Linked DNA regions of Nothobranchius furzeri. The main gene of each other region encodes a partner of the protein of the gene in region 2 in a complex. Links are inferred from orthologs where the notes say so. Each region holds a gene or a part of one and is shown on either strand. Other genes may lie near its edges. The genes, in order: cnot6a, cnot11 and cnot6l.

Region 1 (3,653 bases), on a different chromosome or scaffold from region 2:
CTACTCTGCGCTGGACCAATCAAGTGGCTGAAACAGAGCGAAACACAGAAAGCAGCAATTAGTAGCCGTTATAGTGGATGGTATGTTTCCACCAGCCGTGAAGAATCGCGTTTTGTAAGCATCACAGAAACATAGGGACACGCTGTTTGTGCATCGACTCTATTTTTTACACACTATTCTTTGAGAAGGCTTCAAACTCAGCAGTTCATACCAGGCCAGACTAGGGTTGTCACGGTGTGAAAATTTAACCTCACGGTTATTGTGACCAAAATTACCACGGTTTTCGGTATTATTGCGGTATTTTTTTTTAAACGTGCTACATTTTCACACAATTAAATAAAACCCTGTATGTCAGGAAATATTGTCCTCAGTTTGTGTCTAAATTTAGCCTAAAATGTGTTATTTTGTAATTATGTTGTTTATTTGTTTACATTTTTCCCCTTTAGTCTTGAAAATACCAATATTTGCCCATAACTTCTTATTTTATGTCTTTTTGATGTCATCATTTTAAAAATATTAGATCAGATGATACTCAGTACTCAAGTAGCCTTCTAATCAGATACTTTTTACCCTTACTTGAGTAATAAACCCTAGATCAGGAAAATATTGTCCTCGGTTTGTGTCCTTCCAGTGAGCTTTGCAGATTTGGGAAAATGTCATCAGGCAGTAATCGTTGTTAAATTCATAATTATTCTCGGAGAGAGACCAACTCTTATCTGCCCCTGGGAGCCCCGTAATGCATAGCATCATTTCAATATGGCGGTGTCCGCGACACGGTTTATATGCAGGTAGCGGCGGTGCGGCTGCTTTATATAGCGACTCGTTTCATTCTCCCTCAACCCAAATCCTCGGATCACACATTTTAGCTAAAACGCTAACGTTAGCTTGCCTTTCGTTGACTGTAGCGTTGTGGGTGATGGTCACGCAGATGTGTCATGAGATTTGAAGTGTTGCTGCCGGATAGCCGTCTTCTATCAACTGTCTCTCAGCATTCTTCAAATATCCAAAAGATGCCCATACTTCCGACTTTGTCTTCTTTGAGGGATAATAAATGTCCTGAGTGCTGCCGTCTCCTCCTTTGGCCATTATTTCAGCTTTAGCTTCAAGAAAGTTTTGGTTGTAAACAACAAAGTGCGCATGTCCCACGGGCAACTTCAGCAGATGATACGGTGGCTGGTAAGGGTCACCGCGCCTACACCGCAGCCACGGTAATCCACCGAGATAATATAGTTTTTTTTAAAACAAGACGGTTATCATTATTGTCAACTTTTTTTACAGGGGTTTACCGCTACACCGGTTACCGTGACAACCCTAGGCCAGACAGGAACTGAAACACAAAAATGGTGTAAAACATCTAATCCCCCCAGGAAACCCCCTCCTCACCAGTCAAAAATCCGAAACCCAAAGTGCTTTTACCAAAACAAAAGAACCAATCCTGATTCTTGGCAACGTAATGAAACTGATGGACCCCCCCCCCCCCCCCCCAAAAAAAAAGAAAAAGCACAAATAAAACAATATTGACCTTTGATCCCTGATCAAACTGAACATGATTACACTTTGATCAATCGTTCTACAATACAAGCAGCTGCAAAACAAGCCACAGTTTTGCCAACACACTGTCCATAAAACATTTATTTGACTAAAAATCACATTATGAACATCTTGTAATCCTAGTTACAAAGTCTTAATGAATTCTTGGATATTATCTTACCTGCAAACTGATGATGTCTGCGTTGCAGCCGAGGATTTCCTGCATGATGGACTTCTTCCTGTACTCCCAGTTTAGAGCCCAGGTCGGGCAGTAGCCATAGAGCTGCCTCGTGGCGTATTTATCACACAGCACGTTATAGCACATGACCGAGAAGAGAGCTAAGGAACACAGACAGGAAAAATTTCACTCGTTCACGTGTTTCTGAAGCTGACAGCAACCTTAAACACTCCCTTCTAAGGCGTTGTCTTGCTTTAGTTATTAAATCATAATCAGATGGGTTTTATTTGGTGAAATTACTAGTTCCACCCATCAGTAGCAGTGAGTTAACCAAAACACAGGAAAAAGACTTCGACTCATCATGAAACCCCATCGGTGCAGCGTCCTCATTTACCACGAGAGTTACAGAGATCACACTACGTCGCTGGTTTTAGAATGAAAACGGTTAAAACTACAAACAGTACAATATATATTTAAACCAAAATACTATATATTATCAAAAAATATTTGTAGTTTCAAAATATTTGTAGTAGGAGAAGGAGGTTATCATTTTTGGGGGAAATATTTCAAATTTAAGGAGTTACACACCGACATCTTTTCTATCTGCGTCTGGAAGAATCATTTAAGAGGGGCTGAAGGAATGTTTAAAGGTGCAATCTGTAAGAATGACATCTAGCGGACAAATGTGGGTACTGGGGTTCATTTTTTTGGCAAAAACATCACGTTCTCACTGCCGTTCTGTGAGTTTCATGGCTGTTGCCGTTTAATGACGAGCACCAGAAGATTCTAGATGACGAGCGAAGACGAGTCATACACAGAAAGTGGATAAGTTGATGAATACATTGTCATATCTGGTGTTAGCATTCCTGGGTGTTTTATGGCAGGGAGCACTTACTACACTTATTATGGTAGTTTGTTTCAGTTATTACAGGAAGTGTGGTTGTGTGCATTCTTGCTGTTAGCCTGCCGTTAAAAGTTCTGAGCAACTCATTAAAGGAAGAAAAACTCAATTACTCACTTCACACATACATTTCACTGTAACATCAAGTTATTGGTAATTGAAAAAGTAGCTTGAGATATTTTTGAGCTGACTATTTGCTCCTTATTCATCGTTAGCATTGTTAGCTCAATAATAAACTCTAGCCTGCTTTACTCAACATTAAGCCCCCTTCAGACAGGCCATGAAAAACGGAAATGTTCCGGAATCTGTCCGTAAGACCTTTCTGTCTGAATACAAACATCCGGATAATGTGTTCCGGAATTTATCCGGACGAAGCCCCTAGTAACAGGTCCGGACTTGTTACGGACAGGGTGGCTGATTCAGACTGGTGAGGTAAAGTTCCGGACAAGAGGGAGGGGGAGGAGGAGGGGACCGGGGGACGCTGTGCGCACCTAGATAGCCCGCTGCTGTAGCATGCGGCGATCAACGGCAGCTCGCCTCCTACGGTACCGTCTAGACGCGCGAGGGAGCGCTTCACACCGCTTCAGTGATTCCTTTAACCATTGAGCTTCATCATCCAGGTCTCTTATGCGTCTTCGTGTGCGCAGAATTATGCTTAAGCGCCTCGTGATTTTTATCTTGAGAGGCGCTGTAGAAATGATATTTTCTTCTTCTTCTTCTTCTTCTTCTTAACATGAGTCCGATCACCCCCCCACCACCACCACCCCCCGCCGCCGTCAGACATCTGGAACTTTTCCCTGCTGTGTGAACGCAGCCGAAAGGACAAGTTCCGGTACAAAAGTGGTGTGTCTGAAAACACAGTTCCGGTTAAAAACCGGATTGAATTGTCCGCAAATGTTCCAGAATGTCTGTCTGAAAAGGGCTTTAGAGTACAACTAAAGGATGCAGTAGCTTCTTAGGGGTCGCACTTGTTTACTGGCTTTATTCAGTTCTTTTAACAACTCTGGAGCACTGTGTTGAATTACAAATGCCTGGGATGCTGGG
Region 2 (4,132 bases):
TGATTGGCTACGGAGCTGTCGAACCCTGAGTTGGAGGAGTCTGGGTCTGGGTCATTCAGGATGCTGGGGAAGCTGGCTTTACTCTGAGTGGGAAGCTCCGACTGGCGCTCTGTTAGACCAAGGAGCAGACATGGAAACGGGTCAGGGGCTGAAGGTGAGAGCGACACGACCATCCTGGTACGAGCGTGTAATAACGTACGTAAACACGCTCACCATCAACCAATGTTCTCACCTGACTTACAAATGACGTGTTAAACATTAGCTCCTTGTTTGGAGCAGAACTATACACGACGTAATGGTGAGGTGCTTAAAGAGCGGACATGATGAACCAGGACAATGATGATAAATGACCCACACTTATTTAGTGCCATGAGTCAGAGGACTCCAAAGCGCTTTACACTACAGTGCGTCATTCACACACACGTTCACACACTGATGGTGATGAGCTACAGTGTAGCTACAGCTACCCGGGCGGTGAGCCGGGACAACCCTCTGATTACTGGACAACCCGCTCTACTTCCATGTAACATGTTTTATACGTGTTTTGTGCTCGATCAGCGCCTCAACTCGAAACGCATCCAGCTCCTGGTTTTATTTCAGCGGCTCTGGCCCACAGTTGCTTGTTTGCAATTCCTTTTCTGATGCTGGTGTAGGTATCAGATCCGCTCAGGGACCTGCGCCTGTTGATGACATCACACCACAGCAACACCACTGGAACAAACTACATTGCAACTCATTCTTTAACTACCTAAGTGCTAAAAACAACAACAGACTCTACCAACAAAACAGCTCATATATGTGATTGTTTTACACTGTATTATTAACACCTGCAGCTGTTGGTGTTGAATTCTTCTACTTCATTTGTTTGTATCCTGTTCATGTGCTGCAAACTGTCCAGGTGTCATCTATGTTTATGTCTATGGTGTGTGTGTGTGTGCTGCAGCACACGATCACTGTGAAAGCAGGGAGAGGGATGCCCAAAATGCCTGGGACAATTATTACATTAACTGATGGGACCTGTCACTGATTAGTTTAGAGATAAGTTTCTCAGGCTGATAAAAAATAAATCATCTCTGAGTGACGCGCCGCTGCCGTACACTCTCCCACAGCACCGCTGGAGGGGACTAAATAACCATTATGCAACATATGTGGGCGACGGTGGCACAGGAGTTAAGTGCTTGCCCCATAACTGGAAGGTTGCAGGTTCGAGCCCCGCTCAGTTTGTTGCTGTCGTTGTGTCCTTGGGCAAGACACTTAACCCCCCTTGCCTGCTGGTGGTGGTCGGAGGCACCGTGGCACCAGTGCTCGGCAGCCTCGCCTCTGTCAGTGCGCCCCAGGGCAGCTGTGGCTACGTCGTAGCTCATCCCCACCAGTGTGTGAATGGGTGAATGACTGATGGCGTTGTAAAGCGCCTTGGACTCCCAGGACTCTAGAAGGCACTATATCAAATACAGGCCATATTTTTACCATATGTTTCGATTTATTTTAGATTATAAGTGCACCGTATAACTCTTAGTCAGTATTTGCAAAATATTTATATCAAGTTGGTATTAAGTAGGCTTAAATAAGTTAAACCTCAGCCTGAACCGGGGGTAGGCAACCCGTTAGGTGGGTCTGGATGGAGCGAGTCTGGTCTCGAACGGGCGGTGTAGTGTTCACGTATAAATCCGAGCGACTTCTCAGGAACGCAGAAATCCCCGAGCCTGTGGGCGGTGATTAATACGCGCGGGAAAGTCCGCGGTGTCCTCCATAATAAGGTAAACAAAGGCGGGCACGAGCTGTGTTGCTTTTGGAGACTCTGAACCACATTAGTTTATTAATTTTCTGTGTGTGTCCTCATAATCTTATGCCACACACACACATATGCACACACTGCTTTCTCCCCTGAGCAGCTGTCTACTCACTGGGGCAAGAGCTCTGATGCAGAGGACAGGCACACACACACACACACCCCGACCTGCTAATGCGAGCTGCAGCCCACTGATGTCGATGGGCTGGGGCATGTTGGTGATGTCCATGCAGGACACCTGTCTGGGTGTTTTCTTGAAGAGGTCTCTGGGTGGTGCCAACATCAGCTGGGACAGGAAGAACTTCTCTGGCTGGGTGATAGGCGGCAGGAAGCCTGAACACAAAATCACCACAGGTAACAGGTGGGGCTGAATTCATCTCCTTAGATACGTAGATTTTCAGTAAATGTGCAGGAGCAGTATTAGCAACTTGTATTTCCTGCCATTCCTCTCATAGACGTATGGGACTCCATCATGGACTTTGATGTGTTTATATTTGTGTTACCAGTATACAATGGCAATGAATGGATTTCATTAATGCCGGATTATTTAGTCCTACCGGACAGCGCCTTCTCCTGCTCCTCTCCTGCCGGAGCCGGGTTCAGGACGTGGGCAAAGACAGCAGCGAACGGGTTGGCGGCCAGGGGCTCCGTCCGGTACATCTCCCACAGCAGGTAGAGGGCGGTGAGCCGCTGCGGGGAGCTGGGCAGCAGGTCCGGCTGCTGGAGAAGCATGACTAGCACCGAGCCCACCCGGAAGTGCTCTGCTTTGCCAAAGTAATGATGGAAGTGAGTGGAAAGAGTCTCGAAGGAGTTGGAGCAGGCCTCCTCCGAGATGATGCTCAGCAGGTTGGACAGTTCCTTCGGAGCTAGGCTCATCGTCTCCTCCGGTTCTGTTCAGCTGCGGGGAAGTTCTGCTCCGTTTTTAAAACTAGTTATTGTTGGAAAAATACCGGGACAAGACGTGCTAATCCATGGTTGTGAAGTGAATCAGAAAGTCAACGATATTAGCATCCTGGAGTTGTGTTAGCCTCCACTTAGCTTAGCTTAGCGTTTTCCAGGACTCAGCTTTTGGTCTGACTTATTTTCAACAATAATTGACTATTTAACAACAAAACAATCTTAACGAACAAGCAATTAGCGACAAAATAAACTCCAAAAGCAATATAAGTGCCTGTTATGGCTGTAAAAGTAGGTTCTTAATGTGCCGCACTACCCGTTTAAATTTCTTGTGACCTTTACCTCGAGGTGCACTGTGGGTAATGGAGTTTCCACGTGTTCCTTCGTCTGACCGAGCAGACTCTTCTCCGGCTGTTAAACATTATAGAGCTCTCCCTGCTGGAAGGAGTGCTCCAGTGCAGCCAGACCTCCTCCTCCTCCTCCTTCTACAGCCAGCCTGGTGGCTCATGGAAACCCAGACCTGATCTACAGCAGCAACCACCTGGACAGACAGATCCTCCAGGCCTTCAGGAGCTCCCAGTGGGTTTGAGAACTGGAACCTGTGGCGGCGGCATGGATCCCAGCTGCTTTACTTTACAGATTAATGAGATTTTCTTGTAAATGTTTGTGTTTATTTGTCGTTCTTTGGGATGACAAGTGGCTCTGTGCAGCTCTGGACTGTTTGGACTTCCTTCCTGACCAGCCGGTGGTGGAACTGAGCAGGGAGCTTCATTTCTGCTTCCTTCAAGAAAAGGAGAGCTGCGACCCAGAACCAGCAGGAGGAGGCAAGTCCTTCAGTCAAAAGAGTTGTGGCTTTGTTTTAAAAGCACAGCTATGATGCTTTTTACATTATAGTTATTAAAATCGATGCATTTGAGGAAATGAGTAAAACAAACGTAGGAAGTTAAATCCAAAGAAAATATGAAGCTCCAAGCTGTTGGCTAAAATAATAATTTTTATTAATGTTGCAGGTGATTTTTATATCATTCTGGTAGTGAAATGAAGGGAGGCTGTGATTATTTCCTATAAACCACACTCAGATGGGTAGCTATGTTCTTGTAACTAGGGATGTCCCCTTCCGATATTGGTATCGGATATCGGCCCAAAAAAACCGTATCAGATTATATCGGACTGCATCAAAAATCTCCAATATAAGCAGTCTGTTCTGCTTTAAATTCCATTACAGCAATTCTATCCAGCAGCGTCCAGATCCAGCGTGCAAAGTCCACGTGATCAGAAAAGTGTTTGCTAGCAAGGAGCAATGTCGGCCATCTGGCAGTAGTTTTTGTTAAAGTCCAAAAAAGACAGTTTGGCTCAGTGCAACACTTGTCATGCACAAGCTTCCAAAGATTGAACAGAACCGGGGAAGTTTTATACGTCGTCCCCCCTCGATGTGCATTTGAATCA
Region 3 (4,220 bases), on a different chromosome or scaffold from region 2:
GGACTCGTAGAAGATTGTTGTTCAAAAGCAATTCCCTGCAAGGAGAAGAAGCTTCAACAACCTCTCATGGTGGCATCCTTCACGTCTAACGCTCGTGTTCAGGGTCACGCAGGACATGAATTATAATGTCGTTTTGCTGATTTAGAAGTTCTTGCAGAACTTGAGTCCAGACTTCAAACATCTGTTTATGACGTGTTATTCATCATTTTTAACTTGTTCATTTAAAACCATTTTCATCCGCTCATACGGAGTCGGGTCGCGGGGCAGCAGCCCGAGTCGGGAGGCCCACACTGCCCTCTCCCGAGCCACTTGCCCACCTACTGAACTTCTCTGGAATTGATAAGGAACTGGATCGATGGACAGAATCGACAAGGTTGTTGTTATTGATAAAAACTGATCAAATCCCACCGCTAGATACACATGCCCGAAAAACCTCACCAGGAGGCGTCCTGACCAGGCGCCCGAGCCACCTCAGCTGGCTGGGGAGGGTGTGTGCGTGCATGTGTGTGTGCACGCGCGTGCATGTGTGTGTGTATGTGTGTGTTTGCGTGCGTGTGTGTGTGTGTATGTGTGTCTGTGCATGTGTGTGTGAGTGCGTGCGTGCGTATGTGTGTCTATGTGTGTGTATGTGTGTCTGTGCATGTGTGTGTGTGTATGTGCATGTGTGCGTATGTGTGTGTATGTATGTCTGTGCATGTGTGTGTGTGTGCATGTGTGTGTGTCTATGTGTATGTATGCAGAGACACACAGACACACACACAGACACACACTGCAGCACTCCCCACGTCCGTCCTTACAGACAGGTGTGTGTGTGTGTGTGTGTCTGTGCATGTGTGCATGTGCATGTGTGCGTATGTGTGTGTATGTATGTCTGTGCATGTGTGTGTGAGTGCGTGCGTATGTGTGTGTATGTGTGTCTGTGCATGTGTGTGTGTGCATGTGCATGTGTGCGTATGTGTGTGTATGTATGTCTGTGCATGTGTGTGTGTGTGTGCATGTGTGTGTGTGTGTGTGCATGTGTGTGTGTCTATGTGTATGTATGCACAGACACACACACACACACACACACTGCAGCACCCCCCACGTCCGTCCTTACAGACAGGTGTGTGTGTGCGTATGTGTGTGTGCGTGCGTGTGTGTGTGTGTGTGTGTGTGTGTGTGTACGCACACGTGGGAGGGTCTCACCTTTCTCACCCTTGACCTGTGTTCATGTCTGACTGGTTTAATCACCTGATTCAGGGTTTTAAATGACCGCTTTAGCATCAGTTCGGTTGAAACTGTCGGACACGACGGACGACCCCACCCACACTGCAGCTGAGTTAAAGGTCAGGGGTCAGAACTCCACCCACCTGAGAGTAACCATGTTGCCCAGTTCGGCGGGCAGACTTCGGAGCTTATTGGATGACAGGTTCAGGTAGACCAGGTTGGGCAGCTTGGCGATGTCCGGTGGGATACGAGTCAGGTTGTTGTCGTTGATGTGGAGCGCCGTCAGGTGGGTGAGGGTCCATAACGAGCTGCTCAGGCTCCGCACCCTTCCTGTGTAGGTGGCGGAGCTTCATTTTACTAACATTTCTGAACACAGTGGGCCAAACTGACCCCGACACTGAAAACATGGACAAGACTTTCTCTGGATATAACGTCCAGAGTGTGTTTTACTGGAAGTAAATGCAGACTGACCAGAGATCTCCAGCTCAGCCCAGTGAGACTTCTTCCCACCAGCCGCCTCCTCAGCTGACATGATGGTGTAACATCTGCGGGGATCTAGGGGGTCATATTTCTCCTTTGGCATTCCTGTTAATCTGCAGGACAAACCAGGAGCACGAGTTATCGTGGCAATCGTAAAAGAAAACACCAACTTTTATTTCAAGCACTAAAAAAATGTGGAAAACAAGAGAAGAACAATTTATAAGAAACTCAAAGGTTTAAAAAAAAGCTCGAGGCGTTTTTTAGTTAATGATGACGGAAGCAAACTGCTCATTTTTCTCAGGAGGTTTCACCTGCTGAGGAGCAACAAAACCACTGAAACCAGAACAAACCAGCAGAACATTTGATCAGTGATTACAGTTTTAATCAGAAGTTATCCACATAAAGAAAAGTCATCCAGAGGACTTCCTGCACTTGTAGGATGATCGTCGTAGAACCTCATCTTTAAACGTTCCTGTGGATCTACAGCCTGATTACTTCAGAATGGTGAGTTACAGCAAATACGTTCAGGGCCTTTGGGTGAGGTGGGTTCAGGCGCAGCAGGTCACAAGTGTCTGCAGACACCATCACAACTCCAACAGGTCATGTTGCCTCAGGAGCTGAAAGAGGGCCGTGTGTGTGTGTGTGTGTGTGTGTGTGTGTGTGTGTGTGTGTGTGTGTGTGTGTGTGTGTGTGTGTGTGTGTGTGTGTGTGTGTGTGTGTTGGAAAGTATGCAGCAGTGACAACTGCTCAGGCAGCTGAGGGACGAGTGTCCAAACATAGCTGTGGTGTCAAAAGTGACAAGAGGACAGGCCCGCTCACCAGCTGCTGGCACACCTGACACCAAGGTAAACACGCGCTCCGATTCGACACCTTCCACGGATGTCAGCGACACATTTACCTATGCAGCAAAGACCGGTCACGGTAACCGACCAGCGCTCCCGAAGCACGGGGCTGGAGTAAGTCAGCCAGCGGCGGCTGGGCGCATGCTCCCCGGGCTCCAGGGGCTTAGGGTGGGGGACACGACCGGACAAGGACCGAGTCGGGCTCTAAGCTGGTTTAGCGCCGAGCCGCCCGGGCGAACCGGCTCTAGATACAAAACGTGTTTACCTTCATCCGGGGGCTGTAGAAGGGAACTGGCAGCGACATGCAGGCGCGGGTTCAACCCTGAACGTCTCGGAAACAGAAGGAAGAACAACAAACGCGGCTTCCGCTCGTTACCGACAGTCCAGAGCGCGGTCGTGCACGCGCCTACTAGCTTCTTAGCATAAATCCCAAACGAAACTTTACAAATATGCTCATTTATTAATTGTTAATAAGTGACACATATTACGCTAAAGTTTGATACTAAACATGTGAAGGACACGTGCTAGCTGGTTAAACTCGTCATCTGTGACGTGTAGCTGACGTCACTTTATTTGACAAAAACCCGATGCAAAAACCAGAGATTCGGCATTATTTTTATTTGTTTATCTTATGCTTGCAATTCATTCATTTTGCCACTTTACACGATTTTAACATCAACATTTACTTCTAATCACACCTTAAAACAAATACTGAACTCGATCATTTAAATCAGTGAATCTTTAACATTAGATGAGATTTTAGAAACGTTTTTAAACGGTTTCCTGTAATGTAAACTGGTTAAGTTAGAGCCGACCTTTTAAAAATAAATATGTGTGTTTGTGCGGAACCATTGAGCGAACTGCTGTTTTTACACGGACAACGGACCACCAGAAGCAGACATGGCAACCTGCTCGCGGGCAGCTTGGAAAGGTCAGTGAAATTAGTTTCTCATCCAGGAAAAACGGTAAATTCATGAATGTTATTTTTTTGTTTCCGGTTGGGTTATTTTCTGTAGATTAGCGTTTTAGCTGCCCTGCTATCTGTTTCCGGTTAGTGTGTCCTGAGCCTAAACGCTCACAGAGGTTACGGAAACATGTTTTCCATCAACGTGTGGTTGCAAACTGGAGCCCCTCTGTTATGCTAATTAACTTTAGCTCACATCGTTTTCAGGAAGGTGAAAAAGTCTAACTTTTCTAGCGTCTTCTCCTGTGTTTACCCACCTGTCCGTCAGTCACATGTAACTACCATCATTTTGGCAAATATCCCACCTAGGCTCCCGTGTCTGTCTGAAACACAGGAGTCCTGATGGTTGAACCCCCCTCTGTCCGTGCGGCTCGCGCTGCTTTTTACACCTTTAGTGGTGTTGGACACGTGTTTACGGTGGGTTAACCGGGGTTAATGGTCAAACCAGTTGTTACCTGTAACCCTACTCCTCCGGTGTGGCCCTGGCCACCCTTTTGGGGAGCCACTGCTATTATTGTAACCTCCAACCACTAAAAACAACAAATAAAGGAAACATGTGTTTCCAGAACTATGCAGCGTACAGTAAGAGACACGAACGTACTGCGTACATCTGGTATTGAACACACACACTGAGTATTGCATTGGTGGTGTTGTGTACCAGGATAATGCCAGTACCAGTTAAACTGGGGAATCCTACACTTGCTGCTGAGGGGATGAATGACCTACGG

Evidence for each region.
Region 1: cnot11 (region 2) and cnot6a share a complex: the UniProt entries of both Homo sapiens proteins name them as parts of the CCR4-NOT complex. The link is inferred for Nothobranchius furzeri from reciprocal best matches to the Homo sapiens genes CNOT11 and CNOT6.
Region 3: cnot11 (region 2) and cnot6l share a complex: the UniProt entries of both Homo sapiens proteins name them as parts of the CCR4-NOT complex. The link is inferred for Nothobranchius furzeri from reciprocal best matches to the Homo sapiens genes CNOT11 and CNOT6L.

What each region holds. Positions count from the first base shown.
Region 1 is NC_091741.1:95,565,194-95,568,846, forward strand, and holds part of cnot6a (CCR4-NOT transcription complex subunit 6a), read right to left. Parts: intron 1,870-3,653; coding exon 1,712-1,869; intron 1-1,711. UniProt on the Homo sapiens protein: Poly(A) nuclease with 3'-5' RNase activity.
Region 2 is NC_091754.1:35,255,145-35,259,276, reverse strand, and holds the start of cnot11 (CCR4-NOT transcription complex subunit 11), read right to left. Parts: upstream 2,857-4,132; 5' UTR 2,666-2,856; coding exon 2,347-2,665; intron 2,123-2,346; coding exon 1,958-2,122; intron 110-1,957; coding exon 1-109. UniProt on the Homo sapiens protein: Component of the CCR4-NOT complex which is one of the major cellular mRNA deadenylases and is linked to various cellular processes including bulk mRNA degradation, miRNA-mediated repression, translational repression during translational initiation and general transcription regulation.
Region 3 is NC_091750.1:40,065,669-40,069,888, reverse strand, and holds the start of cnot6l (CCR4-NOT transcription complex subunit 6-like), read right to left. Parts: upstream 2,924-4,220; 5' UTR 2,794-2,923; intron 1,800-2,793; 5' UTR 1,790-1,799; coding exon 1,678-1,789; intron 1,537-1,677; coding exon 1,350-1,536; intron 36-1,349; coding exon 1-35. Other genes in the region: mrpl1 (large ribosomal subunit protein uL1m), read left to right, coding at 3,429-3,459. UniProt on the Homo sapiens protein: Has 3'-5' poly(A) exoribonuclease activity for synthetic poly(A) RNA substrate.